Lytechinus pictus: one gene and its partner. The protein of the gene in region 1 interacts with the protein of each later gene in a pairwise test. Links are inferred from orthologs where the notes say so. Each region holds a gene or a part of one and is shown in the gene's direction. Other genes may lie near its edges.

Region 1 (8,401 bases):
ATGACATTTTAAAGTTTCGCTAATTTTTCACAAAACAGTGATGTGCACAACTAAGTAACATGCAAATTAGACAGTCGATGATGTCCCTCACTCACAATTTCTTTTATTTTTCATTGTTTGAATTATGCAATATTTCATTTTTTACAGATTTGAACTTGACTGAACCATAATTAAACAGAGCTTATTACACATGTTCAGGGAGGAATTAATCGTTGTTTCACTTGTCAATGAGGAAAAAATTCGAAAATTTCATTTTTCATAAAAGAAATAGTGAGTTGGATGACATCATAAGTTTCCTCATTTGCATACCGACCAGGTTGCTGTGCATAATCAGGGGCGGATCCAGCTCCAATAGGGGGTGGGCCCAAATTGCTTTTCATGCATTTTTCCCCGATCGGCCGCTCAAAGTTGATTTTTGTTTGTTTCTTTGAAGGGGTTGTCTCAGTGGCGCAATGAGCCTAAAAAAATGAGGGGCTTAATACGGCATATCACATAAAATTAATAAGAGTTGCGAGCAAAAATTTTGACATTTTGAATACTAAAATCAAAGTTTGTGATAGATTTTTACATAACATTTGAAAAATGATAGGCTTATAGTCACACTTATTCCTTTTTTTTTTGGGGGGGGGGGCAAAATGCCGATGTCCTAACAGTAATTTCTTTGCTTTATTCTTATAAAACAACATTTAAAAAGTGTAATAATCTCATATGCCCTATTTGAATAGTGCGAGCGCGAAGCGCGAGCTGAATATTTTTGGAATATACTGGGCAATGTTTGTGAACCTGAACAAGATGCGTATGTAATTACATAATTACTGCGAGCGCGAGCAGAAATTTTTAATATGGGTTAAGGCTTGATCACGCGCAAAAAGGGACCTATTAAGGACGATTTGCAGTTAGCCATTAAGACGATACATATTTCAACATTTAGATAATGCTAGCGCGAAGCGCGAGCTGATTTTTTTTGACATTCCGACCTATAAAAAATTGACATTCTTAGCACTTTTTGAAATAAACGGTATAGGTATAAAACTAAACAATTGATGCGAGCGCGAAGCGCCAGCTAAAAGATTTGAGATTTCAGACCTAAAAATTGGACACTCTATTCATGTTTTGTAAATCATGAAAAGGAAGTTCCTACATTAATGATGAGAGCGCTCTTAGCACGTTTTGAATAAAGATCAAGCTGCGTATGTGTGCGCGTGTTTTAGAGTTAGACAGAATCTGGGCATTCTGAATACATTTCATTTTTTATCATGAAAATCAATAATGCGAGCTCGAAGCGCGAGCGGAAAATATTTGATATTCCGGTATGAAAAGAGCGAATTTAAGCACTATCTAAAGCACTGATGGAAATTGTGATGTGTATGTGAATAGCACTTAAGAAATGATGCGAGTCCCAGGACCAAAATCCAGTTAAAACCAATTAGAGCAAAACCAATTGAAACCAGTTGGCCAACTGGTTTCAATAGGGAAATTGGAACAACTGGTTCCAATTGAAAAACAGTTGCCAATTGGTTCCAATTGAAAACCAGTTGCCAATTGGTTCCAATTGAAAACCAGTTGCCAATTGGTTCCAGTTAAAACCAATTGGGCAACTGGAACCAGTTGGCAATTGGTTTCAATTGGTTCCAGTTGTTCCAATTTCCCTATTAAAACCAATTGAATCCAATTGGAGGCAACTGGTTTCAATTGGTTCCAGTTGAAACCAATTGGAGGCAACTGGTTTCAACTGGAACCAGTTGAAACCAGTTGGTTTCCAACTGGATCCAATTGGAACTTCCAGTTGGAATGAACTTAATTAGTTACAAATTAATTAGCATTTGCACTATAACTATTGCTCATGCCAACACAGAAGCAGTGTTATATGTCTATTAATATACCAATGTAAAGGGCATTGATAAAATACAGACTTTCATATGTTATATATTTATATGGAAGATCTTCAAATATATGTATTTTTGTTTGATGTAATTTGGTAACAGTTAGTGCATGGTGTACTAATTATCTTTGAATCTGTTTTAATTATATAATCTATAACATTTATGAACATGGTTTTCACTGCTAAGTATTATAAACACTTATCCTAAAAAAGTGTGGTACTTGAAATTGAAAAGAATTAAATAGATACATTGTAAATGATGATGAATCTCATAAAACATTAATCTGTGCACACTGGCAGATAATATGCAAATTAACTGGTTTCAATTGGATCCAGTTGGGTAACTGGAAAATTTCCAATTGGAAACCAATTGGAAATCATTTCCAGTTACCCAACTGGATCGCGTTTTATTTCCAGTTTAATACCCAACTGGTTCCAGTTAGGATTTCCAGTTACCTAACTGGTTCCAGTTAGAAATCATTTCCAGTTGGAAGTCATTTCCAGTTGCCCAACTGGGTCCAGTTAGGAATTTAAGTTGCCCAACTGGTTCCAGTTAGGATTTCCAGTTACCCAACTGGTTCCAGTTAGAAATCATTTCCAGTTGGAAGTCATTTCCAGTTACCCATCTTTCCAGTTAGAAGTCATCTCCAGTTACCCAATTGGTTCCAGTTTGGACTTCCAGTTGCCCAACTGGTCCCAGTTAGGATTTCCAGTTACCCAACTGGTTCCAGTTAGAAATCATTTCCAGTTGGAAGTCATTTCCAGTTACCCAACTGGTTCCAATTAGGATCTCCAGTTGCCCAACTGGTTCCAGTTAGGATTTCCAGTTACCCAACTGGTTCCAGTTAATTAGAAATCATTTCCAGTTGGAAGTCATTTCCAGTTACCCAACTGGTTCCAGTTAGGATTTCCAGTTGCCCAACTGGTTCCAGTTAGGATTTCCAGTTACCCAACTGGTTCCAGTTAGAAATCATTTCCAGTCGGAAGTCATTTCCAGTTACCCATCTTTCCAGTTAGAAGTCATCTCCAGTTACCCAACTGGTTCCAGTTAGAAATCATTTCCAGTTGGAAGTCATTTCCAGTTACCCAACTGGTTCCAATTAGGATCTCCAGTTGCCCAACTGGTTCCAGTTAGGATTTCCAGTTACCCAACTGGTTCCAGTTAATTAGAAATCATTTCCAGTTGGAAGTCATTTCCAGTTACCCAACTGGTTCCAGTTAGGATTTCCAGTTGCCCAACTGGTTCCAGTTAGGATTTCCAGTTACCCAACTGGTTCCAGTTAGAAATCATTTCCAGTCGGAAGTCATTTCCAGTTACCCAACTGGTTCCAGTTAGGATTTCCACGGTTGCCCAACTGGTTTCAATTGGTTTTAACTGGAAATTGTTGAAGTCCAGTTAAAACCAATTGAAACCAGTTGAAACCAATTGAAACCAATTAAAACCAGTTGAAAATCCAACTGGTTTCAATTGGATTTTGGTCCTGGGGTGCGAAGCGCGAGCTGATATTTTTATTATTATTTTGACTTAGGACCTGGGGAGCGTTTCATGAAAGGACTTGTCGGACGTTTTATCCGACAAGTCCCATTTTATCCGACAGTTAACATAGTAACAGTACCTCTCAGCCAATCAACATCAGAGAAAGATGTCAGATCTGACAACTTGTCGGATGAAAATGTTGATAAAACACTCACCAGGACATTCTAGGCCTAAGGACATTTCGTCATCATATGAAACTGATTACTATTTTCCTCTTCCTCTTCCTATATACGCGCGATATGAAACTTGTCGATATTCCTTTCTGAAAAAGGGACAATTTAGTTATTAGTAATTCATGAAAATTTTATTATCATATATGAGCGTAATGAGTGAGTGAAATTTGTTGACATTTGAAGCCTAAAACCTCCATATTCTAAGCACTTTTGTAATCATGAATAGGATTTATGAGTTGATATATTTTTAACTATTATTATAAGCGCAAATTGCGAGACGAAATTATTGATAAACTGTCATAAAAGGGGGATTTTAAGTAGTTTGTTAAATAATTATTATATATAAAGAATCTTATGGAATAAACAAAGACAATATATGTAGGCCTACTTGACAAATCAAATAACGCCAGCGCACAGCGCATAAAGCTGCAAATGATGTTCACACTATAAAACGGACATGCAGAGCACTAAAAAAAAAATCAATTTGTAAATCAAACAAAATAATAAAAGCTCCATGTCCGAGCTGAAATATGTTTTGTATATTGACTTCAAAACTTGATATTTTAAGCTACATATCAGCCTATCAGTGAGCAAGATAATCTCATCGAACAGGCTATGCGAGCGCGAAGCGCGAGCGAAAATTTAATAATGACATGAAATAGGGCCTATATATTATGTTTTAATCATTTTCCAAGTCGGCATCCCCTGACCTTATTTTTTTTCACTCGCCGTCTCCCTCCTCTTATTTTGCTCTTCGTTTTTCCTCTAGCTTTCTTCCCTTTCTTTTCTTTTTTCCTTTCTTTCCCCCTTTTTTTTGCTCCGCCAATAGGGGGGCCCGATCTCCTCGGGCCCCCCTGGATCCGCCTATGCATGTAACTTTTATTTTGTCATAACTTCCTTTTATTTCCATGATCGGATCGGACCATCGGACAGTGTACGTTTCGACAGTTTTCACGTGCATGCTAGGGCGCGCGCCCAGCTTCCGCTCGCGCGTCTTCTTTACCGCTGTGTTTCCAAAATGGCCGAACAGAAGAGAGTTACAACGCTTCCCGACGGCAGGTCGATTGAGCAACTTCGAGTTGTTGATCTGAAGCAAGAATTGAAGAAGTATGGCGTGTCACAAATTGGTAGCAAGAGTCAGCTCGCGGAACGTCTTAAAGCGGTAAGAAAGTTTCGCAGAAAAGGGGCTTCTCACGTTAAAAGTCGAGGGAGATCGAAAATTACCCTCTCGCGTGGGCCATTTCCAGCGTCCCTCCCGGGCTCAGTACTCCGTGCCCATTGCCAGGGCGTCCAACTCGGGGATATGTGCCTTGGCCTTACCGAGACATGGCTGCAGCCGCAGCGGCGCTAATGCAGTTTCGCACCGGCTGGTTTCAAGCAAATTTCCTCACCAGAAATTTATTCACAAATGTCGTGGCAAGTCTCTCAGTCACATTTGTGGTTAATTAATAATATGCCCACCGCTTTTCCAAATATCGGGAACGCCTCCGATCTCGTCTTCTCGACGCGACGACGACGTTATTGTTTGAATTCTCAGTCAGAGTCAGACATCATTTCGCTTGTATTTTAAGTTATCGACCAAAATTGCCTGCGTCAGGTCTTCTGTTTGTTCGCCACAAGTTCACATGATTTGGTCGATAACTTAATGTCAGTCCATATAAAATTACGGCAAAGCCAAGGCAGCGAAGGAAGTGATGTCTGTCGAGCTGTCTGACTGAGAATTCGACAAATGATGTCGAGATTGAAGCTGAACGTGAAATACAGCTGTTCCTGATTGCGATATTCGGGAAAGCAGTGGGCAGATTGACCTTTAAAGGTGATTGAGGGACTTGCCATGATATTTTTGAACAATTTCTGGTGGGGAAATTCGCGTGAAATCAGCAGATGATCATGATGATGCGAAATTGCATTAGCGCATCCCCAGGCCCAGCAGCATTTTGCCAACTGTCTCTGCTTTCTCGGGCTCATGCGTAACCATAAGAAGTAAACTCGAGACAGAGTTCAGTGACATGTTTAGTTGCCCAAACTGGAGCCACATTGTCGGTGTCAAATACTGTCAATATAAAATGGCATGAAAGTGGGTCTAAATTCCTAAAATTTAATTTAATAATCATGACATATAATTTCTGAGGTGACTCACCCAGTCACACTCAACTAAAAAATATGTCGAAACTAATACTAACTTATCATACTTATGTTTCATTCAGCCTCAATTGTATATTAAAAAAAATATTTTATCTCGGACATGTACATTGACCTTATCTTGAATATCATTAATTTCTTGTGTGTGTCACTGTGTGTGCTTGCTGTGTACAAAGTTAATGCCAATTGGTTATTCAGCTTAGTCTCAAAATCATCTGGCACTTGCAGGGCTCGAATTAATAAAGGGCCATTGACGGCCATGGCCGTAGATGCCTCTTTGTTTGGCCATCATGCCCCCCAAAAAAGTTACACTGTCACGGCCATAAAGTTACCTGCCCTTTTCCTTCTGGCCGTCATGCCCCTTTGGTCAAAGAAATGCCTCCTTTCTTTTGATTGTAATGCCCTTTTCTATATGAAATAATGTCAGAAATGTAATTTTACCAATACCTCAGTGACAAGTGACACCATTAAATTGCAGAGGCCAGAGGAGTACATTGTGCATTGAGTAATTCCCCAAATAGACAGAGAATAGTCCATTTATGAGTGGTGGGATTTGGAGGTTTGAGAGAAAATATCTACATGTAGTCATTTTAATATCCTTTAAAATTAATTATGGTGATTTAAAAAAAAAAATTTTGAGGCTCTTTTCTTGAATTAATTATTAGAAAATCCCTCTAGATAATGATACCGTCTGTCTGATATTCCTCAACATGTACCAAACAAGTTAGATAATTTCGGCTTTGAAAGACCTGGAAAGCTCTTAATCGACATTGAAGAATTAATTCTGGGTGATTATTCAACATTTATTGCAAGGCTCCACATTAACTTTTTTTGGTGGTGGCCCATTCGGGCCACCAAAACCATCAAATAATTTTTTTTGGTGGCCCGATATTAAAGTTTGGTGGCCCGAAAAATATAAAGAAAAACGTTATAAATGAATAAAACAAACTTCTGAAATATTCATTCTGCAGCCACTACCACTAAGTTCCTTTCACTTTATACATCTTGTAAGTAAACCTTGTTTGCTGTTATTTTACTTTGCTAATTGATAATTGTTTCTATCGTTGTAAAAATGAAATGATTGAAAGTGAATAAATGAATTGTATTGTTCGCAGGTTGTGTGGACTTTTTTTTAAATCTCTGTATAGAGATAATGGTAAAGTAAATAAATAGTGCATAGCAAAGTCAGATAGATGTACAAAACAATGGTTTTTCCTTCCTTCCTCTTTGAATCCTAAAACCTAGATTATGCATGCCCCAAATCCAGTTTATTTCTTTTTTCTCTTTTGCAGCATATTATAGAAGGAGAAAATCACAGAAAAATATGCTGCAAAATTAGAACAATGCATAAAAGGGGGAAACAAACAAAAATAATTTTCAAAAAGTATATAACAAAAAGAAAACAAATATAATAAAAGAAATTAGTGAAATAAAACAAAAGAAATGAAATGAAGAAAGAAGTAGTTATGGTCTTTACTTCAAAACACTTGCCGACTATAACTTTTACTTGCCCCGGGCAATCGGGCAAGTGCTTATGTAGCAGTCAGTAGCACCCTGCCTTTGATGTTACATTCCTTTGATCTCATCACTTCTACATTGACTCCTTTATTCATCCCATGCTTTACATTCTTCTCATGCTTCACATTCTCTCTACATAGCAAACAAATGTGCAAATTGACTTCGTTATTTTTATGCCATATTTTCATAGAAATGTTTGAACAGTAGATTTGTATTTTTTTTTCAAACTGTAAACCATGATTGTAAAATGAGGACATTTTATTCATTTTCTAAATTTCTAGTATTCGAAACTTTTTTTTTGTTGAGAAAAAATGTTCTTAAACAAATTGATCCTTTTCTTCTAAAGTAATTGTCAAATCCAATTGTAATGGCATAATACTTTAATAGTATTTTTTGGAATCTTTTGAATATAAACAGTGATTATCAATGTTACTAAAAATTGATTGAGTATGATTTCATTATCTATAATACATCAATGAGTTTCAATCAATTACATGTACAGTGCACACAATGTACGTATACATTATAGCAAGCATATGAAAATTACAACTCAATTTCTTACATATGTGAACTTTGTGTGTGTGGGTGTTTGTGTGTGTCTGGGCATATTTGCTAATAGCCATTTCTACCAATATTTGTTGCATATATCTTTCAATTGCAAATTTCAATGTTTTATCTCAACCAACAAAATTACTTCTTAGTTCTTGATACTGTATAAATTTCATAAAATCCTGGATGTACATGTTTCTGTGATTCTAGCCAGGAGGCATTTGGAAAGTTTAAAAAAAATGAAACAATGGAACATACATATGATAAATATCAAATTCAAATGTCAAATTTAGACATTTGAACAGCACTTAGTTGGACAAAGTGATGAGTTGTCTGGAAGTAATGCCATCAAAGAGTATTGGTAGTTTGATATACTGTATGTACATTACATGTAAAGTTAAACAGTATTTCAGTTGCAGGCATTTAAGCCAAGTTTTAAGTTCCAAGTTATGTTCATCATAATCAATCCATTACAACTTTTACTCTGATTTTTGTCACATTTTTATTTTTACCTTGGCCATATTTAAAAAAGAGTGCATATAGTAGTATTAGCTTTTGATATTATTTTGAAATGTATTGGATATTCAAATTGTATGGTAA
Region 2 (8,307 bases), on another chromosome or scaffold:
TTTACCATACTCTTTTAGGAGGGCGGTCATTACTTTACTCCCCAAAAAAGGAGACCTCGCTGATATTTCAAATTGGCGTCCCGTCTCCCTCCTCAACACAGACTATAAAATTTTTGCTAGGCTGCTTGCCAGTAGGCTAAAATCATGCATTGACCATGTTATTGGAAGAGACCAAAGTTATTGTATCCCCGGTCGTTCTATTTATGACAACATTAATCTCATTAGAGATATTTTGTTCTATGCAAACACTGATAATATTTCTTTGGCTGTATTGAACTTGGACCAGAAAAAGGCATTTGATAATGTAGATCATGTTTATTTATTCAATGTTATGAAACGCATGGGCTTTGGAAGTCATTTTATATCTTATATACAAATTCTGTATGAAGGGGCTGAAAGCCTTATTAAAGTGTGTGGATCCCTGACAGCTCCCTTCCCCTTTGAGAAAGGAATACGACAGGGATGCCCTCTATCAGGGTTGCTATATACTCTCGCCATTGAGCCTCTCCTGAACTCACTAAGAGAGAACGTGTCAAATCATGCATTAAATATCCCTGCTATTAACAAACGTTGTGTAGTATCTGCATATGCAGACGATGTATCGATATTTGTTACAGCCGATGCTGGCTTTGAATTAGTTGAACAAACTTACAATATGTTTAGTCTGGCCTCTGCTGCATGTTTAAATACAAAAAAATCACAAGGCCTTTGGGTCGGCCGTTGGAAAGGGCGGAATGATAAACCCCTCAACTTTTTTTGGAATAGTGAAGGTCTCCCTTTTTTAGGAGTTCATTTAGGGAACACCTTTAATTATTCTAAACAAAACTGGATTAAATGTAAAGAAAGACTTAATAAGACTTTCATTTCGTGGTCTCGTTTATCGAACTCACTCTCATTTAAAGGCAAGGTATTGATTGCAAACCAGCTCGCTGCATCAAAAATATTTCATGTTCTTGCAGTTCTTTCTCCTCCTGAAAATGTATTAAACGAACTTCAGAATTTAATTGTGAATTTTATCTGGTCAAATAAGCGGCACTGGTTAAAGAAAGAAGTGTTGTATGAAAAACCTGACGAAGGAGGGCTGGGGCTAGCTTGTCTCCAAGCTCGTGTTCTAACTTACAGATTTTCGATTATTCAACGGTTTCTTTCGTTAAATTCTCATCCAGTAAATGACTTTATGGCTCATTTTCTGAGACAGTATTGTAAATTAGGATTTGATTACCATTTGTTCTTTACAAGAATTGATCCTAAGTTTTACACAAGTCTTCCAGTTTACTATAGTGAAGTCCTGCGAGCTTGGTTGACATCTGGAGCTCGAATTGTGACACAATCCCTCTCTTTCAGCCATGCAATTAACATGCCCTTAAGTAGTTTTCATATTATTGATGCAATTGATGTTGATAATTTTTTTCCGACGCGCCTGATGGCATGCGGAGTGAAACTAGTTCGCCATTTGATAAACCACTCAACCGGTCTTTGGATTAAGAGTAGCTGTCTCCAAAAGAACCTTCCAAGAGGACTTCGACAACCATCATCGCGTCTCATCGAACGTGAAACATTACTCATTCGAACTGCACTCTCTAAAGTTTTTCCTACATATTTTAATGACTCAGGCTGTCAACACGAATACTCTGATTTATTGTCTGTTCCAGTAACTCCGATCAACTTCACTCTGGCTTCTTCCGAAAATGGACTTACTGCTTCTTCTAAAGCCATCTACACAATCTACAGGAAAGAACTAGATAACACGACAATCTCATCAAGCTCACATTGGCATGATACTGGATTTCTCGATCCATCTACAAAAGTGAACTGGCTATCTATCTATCAACTACCAACACCTAAAAAAGAGGCTGATATTCAATACAAACTCCTTCACAATATTTTACCGTCGCTCACTGTACTCCATCATCTTAATACAGACATTTCTTCTTTTTGCGGATGGTGCGGAGAAGCAGGAACCATTCAACATCTGTTCATCGAATGTAAAGGAATTCAACCCCCTCTCAATCTTCTTCATAGACTGTTGAACAATCTCCTCCCCTCTCTCAAACTTAATTTTGACCTGTACTGGGCACTCATTCCGCATGCCAGAGGGCGTGACGGAAAGATTATCCGCCTTGCTAATTTCCTTATTATTAGTTTAAAAAGTACAATTTATTTTATGTACCGTACCTCAAATTTCACCGATCCACTTATAATTTGGTTACATCGTCTCAAAAACAGAATACTCTATGAATTTACTTATTACAAATTATGTTCTAATATTGATGCTTTTTCACGTAAATGGTGTATGAATAGATTACTTTTTACAATTAACGAGGGCAGCATTGCATGGCTCATTTAAACATTTGATTTTATAACTCTGTGCTTGTAATCAACCTGATCTCATTTGAATGTTTATGTCAAACTATTCTTTTATTATATACCTGACTTTTGTGATTATAATTTGTAAATAAAGTTTTCATTTGAAAAGTCAAAAAAAAAGTCTTTCTTTCTTTCTTTCTTTCTTTCTTTCTTTCTTTCTTTCTTTCTTTCTTTCTTTCTTTCTTTCTTTCTTTCTTTCTTTCTTTCTTTCTTTCTTTCTTTCTTTCCTTCCACCTTCTTTGTCCTTTCTTGTTTTGTATTGTTTTGCTTTAGTTTGATCTTGGTTTTATGCCTATTGGGTGAATTAAGGGGGTTCGGGTGTCAGTGCGATTTCGTTTCGTTTTGGTGTTCAACTGAATGTATGTGGGTGTATGGGGCGTGGAGCACTCGATTCTCTTCAATTTTTTATATTACAAATTTCATTTAGTTTCACTAAACGTTGAGCAATATTTTTTTTATGCATAACTATGAAAGCTCTTGTGAATTTTTTTAAACATTTTTTTTACGAAAATCATCCGCCTGTGTGAATATGTCAAAATACAGTAATTTTTGTATGATTTTCTGTACTATGATCTATTTGTCTTTGGTGAACAGTGTTTGTGCTGATATTGTAAAACATTTTGCGATGTACCATTAGGCCTACTATAATACGATTTGAAGTGAATGATTTTAATAAATGAAGAGTATGGTTGCAAAAGGTTAGATCCACTTTGGACGATTCTGAGAAAAATCATGTTTTTTATTCTCCCATATTGCAATCAAATTACACTCATGATGTAGGCCTACTATACCCTATAATGTGAACTAAAATTGGGTATTAAAAATCTTCCTATCTTCAAGTTTTTTTGATACATATCTTTAAAGGGATGGTCCAGGCTAAAAGTATTTATAGTTTAATAAATAGAGTAGAATTCACTGAGCAAAATGCCGAAATTTTCATCAAAATCGGTTAACAAATAACAAAGTTATTGAAGTTTAAAGTTTAGCAATATTTTGTGAAAACAGTCGTCATGAGTATTCATTAGGTGGGCTGATGATGTCACATCCCCACTTATTCTTTTTTATTTTATTATATGAAATTAGGTTTATTCAATTTTTTTCCTCCAAGAACTGATTTAGTGCAATAAATATTTATTGCTGCAACTTACTTAATTATAAGGGAGACATATTATTCACACAAGTATGAAATAATGAAAAAATTATGATTTTATGTAATAACATAAGAAAACGGAAAGTGCACTGTGATGTGACATCATCAGCCCACCTAATGAATATTCATGACGACTGTTTTCACAAAATATTGCTTAAATTTTAAACTTCAATAACTTTATTAATTGTTATCCGATTTTGATGAAATGTTAGGCGCTTGCTCAGTGAATTCTACTCAATGTATTAAGATATAAATATTTTCAGGCCGGACCATTATCATTGTGGATCTAACCCCTTTTGCAAGCAAACTGAAATGAATCCAATCCCTTTTGAATAAAAAGAGTGATTTTTCTTTGCCACATTTACTCACATTTCAAATTTTCTTTGTTATAATCAGAGCGACTAAAAATATAGAGGTTCTGAGACAAAAAACCCCAATAAAATCAATTCCTTTTGACAAATGAGCTCTTCAGATGAGTTAGGTTCCAAAATAGGGGTTATTATAGATCCACTCCGAGGAAATCAGTTTTTTATTCTCCCATATTGCAATATTCTTATGCGACTGACTAAATTTTTGTGATACCCTAATACCATGTAAACATAAAATTGGTTATAGAAATTGGTTAAAGAAATCTAACCGTCTTCATATTTTTTAAATTACTTTTTTCCAAACAAAATCTTTGTGGATCTAATCCAGTGGCGTACCTAGGATTTTCCACAGGGGGGGGGGGCAAAACCGTTCGCCAAAAAATTTGACAAGCAAAAAAAAAAGTCTTCAATCACAAATAAAGGATTTCGTACCAGAAAAAAAATTGACAAGCAAAAAAAAAAAAAAAGGTCTTCAAGCTCGTCAGGGGGGGGGGGGGCAATAAAAGTATTCAAGCTCGTGAGGGAGGCAAAAAAGGTCTTTCAAGCTCGTCAGGGGGGGGGGGCAGGGATACGTCCTTTGCATGGGTTGTGGCTCGTCAGGGGGGGGGGGCAGACTGCCCCCTTGCCCCCCCCCCCCGTAGGTACGCTAGTGATCTAATCCCTTTTGCAACCAAATAAATGGATCTTACCCCTTTTGTTAAAAAGGGTGATTTTTCTTTGCCATTTTTGTTCACTTTTTATTGGGAAATTCAACTTTTCCTTGGTATCATTTTAGAGAGCTACTGAAAGTCTATACATTGAGACAAACAAAATTTGATGAAAAATTGATCTATAGCCCCTTTTGCAACTGACCCCTTCAAAATTAATACTTCATGTACGTACAGTATACAAAAATATCATGCTACTAACGATAGATGGCGCTAAAGTTGTGAAAAGCTCGCGTTGCGCTAATTAATTCGCGAGACGTGTTATTTGGGCATTTTTCTAGGGACCGATTTTCGAGTTAAACTTCAGTTAATTCCTTGATCCAATTTATGTTCGATCATGGTAACTATTGAACAACTTTACAAGGATTATGAGGTCCTTGCCGAAGCTGGAACAGATGCCGGGAAGGTAAGCGCGAGAGCCAGATTGATAGCTTTTCGATGGGTGCAACTCTGATAATTGTTAGTTTTCGTTAGGCTACACGTTAACGCAATATGAATTTGTGTGCACGTAGATTATAAATAGAACAAAACAATGACGGTGTATCCGGTCACCCTCTTAAAAAGTCTTATGATCGAAGACGAAGTTGAAAGTCAGGGCGCAAATGCAGTTTCGTCCCGGGTGACTTAGCCAGGAGACTCCTAACAAGTTAGAGAGTAAAAATCATTTCTAACGTATGCTTTAACGTTACTAGGGTGTCTAAAGCCACACTGAAAAGTGTCAGCATAAGACGGGCTGATTTAGGGGAAAATATGGCACATTTTTTTCGGGAAGTTCAGGCTACTACTTTTGTACTAGAAAAATGTGATCTGAATTGATTGTTAACTTGTGTTTGGCATGTATGGAAAGAGAAAATTTAGGGGCTTCTTTTGACAGTAAGGACAAGTTTATATGATCATTTTAAATAAGGATTTAGATAACATTGATTTAGAGATAAATTTCAAACCCTTAATTTATTTTTGTGTGTGTTGAGATTGCCATTTCCCCATGCGTTTTCTATGGGAAAATTAATTTTCTGTTTTGCACAATTTTCTCACTTTGTCGCAATTTTTCATTGTGATCTGGTTTCCAAATCTTTATAAAAATCATACCATCAGAAAGAGCATAAAAAATCCTATTGGATTCTTTATTGAAAAGTTTTTGGCATTAATAATGAATTTATAACAGTCAGTAGGTATGTGCGAATACGGGCGCATGGCGAGCGCTGGTTTTGGCTGCACGGTTTTCGCGCGGGTTTCGCTGCAAGTGGCATCGCCTCTGTCTGGGAGGCTCATCGAAAATGGGGTTTCATGCGCATGCGCACATAGTTGATGCAATCTCGTGCCTTGATACAGACAGTTGAAAATGTGCTCTTTGTACATATAAGTTTCAATGTGGATACTCGCCTGTTAAGTGTGGATATCGGAGCTTGAAAGTTCATCAAATTTTTGGATGCGCAAATGATCGAAATTTTTTAATGGTAAGTAGAACTACGATCCAATTATGTATCTGAATTGTTATAGAATATATTCAAATCAACAAAAAAATTAAAATTAAAAGATTCTATCATTGAGCTGTCCAGATATAAGAGAAGCGAGCTACCCTTGTCACAGCCGGTCTCTCGGCAGTCGAGCTTCCCGATGCGGTGGGCTCCCGTCCGTCTTTCAGCAGTCGAGCTACCGGTACCCGATGCGGAGGGCTTGGTGACGGGAGCGGTCGATAGTGAGTCGTTCATGCTGGATTGAACTGGATCTAAATTGTTTACTTGATAATATTGTGCCTTTTTCTGAAAATGTCTGTCATTATACCGTAGATTGTTATTCTGATATTGATTTAAATATATACATTTTGTCACAAAAACATTCTTTCCTCCTAAGGTTATAGAGTCAACATGTTTTACTTTGATTGTTCAATCATGTTTTATCATTTGGAAACTGGATTCTTTTGGAAGTGGAATATTAATGTTGACTTATTAAATTAAAATGCAAAATCTATAGTGTTTCTTTTTTTTCTTTTGTAGAAAAAAAATATATTTTGAAACTTTTCAATCATGTTTCATTATTTTGAGACTGAATTTGCTTTTGAAAGGGGAATATCATAAATGTTGACTTTTTAATTAAAATGCAAAAATTGTTATTTTTTCAGTTTCTTTTTTTATATATTTTTTAAAGTTTCTTTTTTAAATTATTGTATTGTTTATTTTTTCATTTTTGGGGGGTCATATTTCATTATTAGGAGACTGGATTTGCTTTTGAAAGGAGAATATCTTAAATGTTGATTTTTTTTATTAAAATGCACGAACTAGATGTTGTTTATTTTTTTGTTGTAATTTTTTTCACTCTTGTAAGAAAATACATGAAAACTCAGAGGAAAGAATATTTCATTTCCAGATGGGTCTAAGTCATGTATTTATGTTTTCTTTATTATTAATTTTACTATTTATTTTTTTATTCACTTTTCTTTTTTTTAGGGGCGCAGGTGGGGGTTGTGTTTTGAATTGGAAAATGGGGATGGGATTGGTACAAGTTTTTGTGTCACTTTTGTTTCTCTTGTTTTTAGTGCTTGTTTGGAGCTTTGATGTCTGTTTTGTTGTTGTTTAGAGCTTTGTTATATATTTTTTCTGGTTGTTTTTTGTTTTGTTTTGAAAGAAATAGACCACTCTTTTCCTTTTCTTTTGGCTTCGACTAATAATTTGAATTTATTTATTTTTCTTTAAAAAGAGAGCTCAAACAGGGCCTTAGTAATACAATGTATGTATACAAATATAAGACATTGACAACTGATAGAATATATTAAAACTTAATTTTCGTCCTTCTTGATACTTGAAATAAATTGCATACAATTCTACATACATATTTTACACTCAGCTGCTCATTCCTTCTAAAAAAATGTAATCACATGTCCATTGTCTCTCAAGTCAAAAGCTACATATTATACATGTATAACAAATTGTTGAAACAATAGAATACATAAGGAATTGGTGAAACAATCAAAATCATCAGAAAAAAGCACACATATTTTTATTTGGTCATACAAAGTACAAAAGAAAATGTTTTATATGTAAAAAAGGACCCCCGTACATACACATACAAAATTACAATACTAAGTTGAAAAAGGGCTTGTAATTTATATCAGAAAAACAAAGAAATACATTAGAAATTACAATAACAATACTTTAGACAAATTCATTTAGGAAATTATCTACATGATGCTGTCTTGATGCCAACTAAATTATATGAATTATCTATCATAATCACCTTCATTTGGCAAAAAAAGAGGCGAGTAATTGTGATTTTGTGTTATTTGCATAATTAATTAGAATTAATCAGAAGAAATTATTTTACACATAATAAGAAAAATTACAAGATGAATCGATATACATCAATTGAGCATTCTCTCACCTTTCCATTGATACCTAAATTACTTCATAGGACTCAAAAACAAAGAAGTTAGAACCTGTTGAAGACTTGGGTTCAAAATGGTCACAAAATGGTCACAAAAATGGGTTCTGTACTCCATTGACTTTACATTAAGACAATAACCACAAATTTGGATGAATATGCGCAACTTAAACTGGAATAACTTTCTAATTTCTTGATGAAAATTAAAGTTCTTGGTATCATTTTAAAGGTCTTTTTAAGAGCTTTCAAGTGATACCAAATTTATTCATATTTGATGATTTTCATTTTTTTTGTCACATACCTAATAACAGCTCTCGGAAGCTAGAAATTTGGATTT

Evidence for each region.
Region 2: the proteins of apoptotic chromatin condensation inducer in the nucleus-like (region 1) and apoptosis inhibitor 5-like interact in a two-hybrid assay, tested with the Drosophila melanogaster proteins (2 studies listed by BioGRID). The link is inferred for Lytechinus pictus from reciprocal best matches to the Drosophila melanogaster genes Acn and cass.

What each region holds. Positions count from the first base shown.
Region 1 is NC_087246.1:59,424,657-59,433,057, forward strand, and holds the start of apoptotic chromatin condensation inducer in the nucleus-like, read left to right. Parts: upstream 1-4,501; 5' UTR 4,502-4,610; coding exon 4,611-4,754; intron 4,755-8,401.
Region 2 is NC_087253.1:11,011,910-11,020,216, reverse strand, and holds the start of apoptosis inhibitor 5-like, read left to right. Parts: upstream 1-4,783; 5' UTR 4,784-4,929; coding exon 4,930-4,998; intron 4,999-8,307. UniProt on the Drosophila melanogaster protein: Antiapoptotic factor. Also known to efficiently suppress E2F1-induced apoptosis.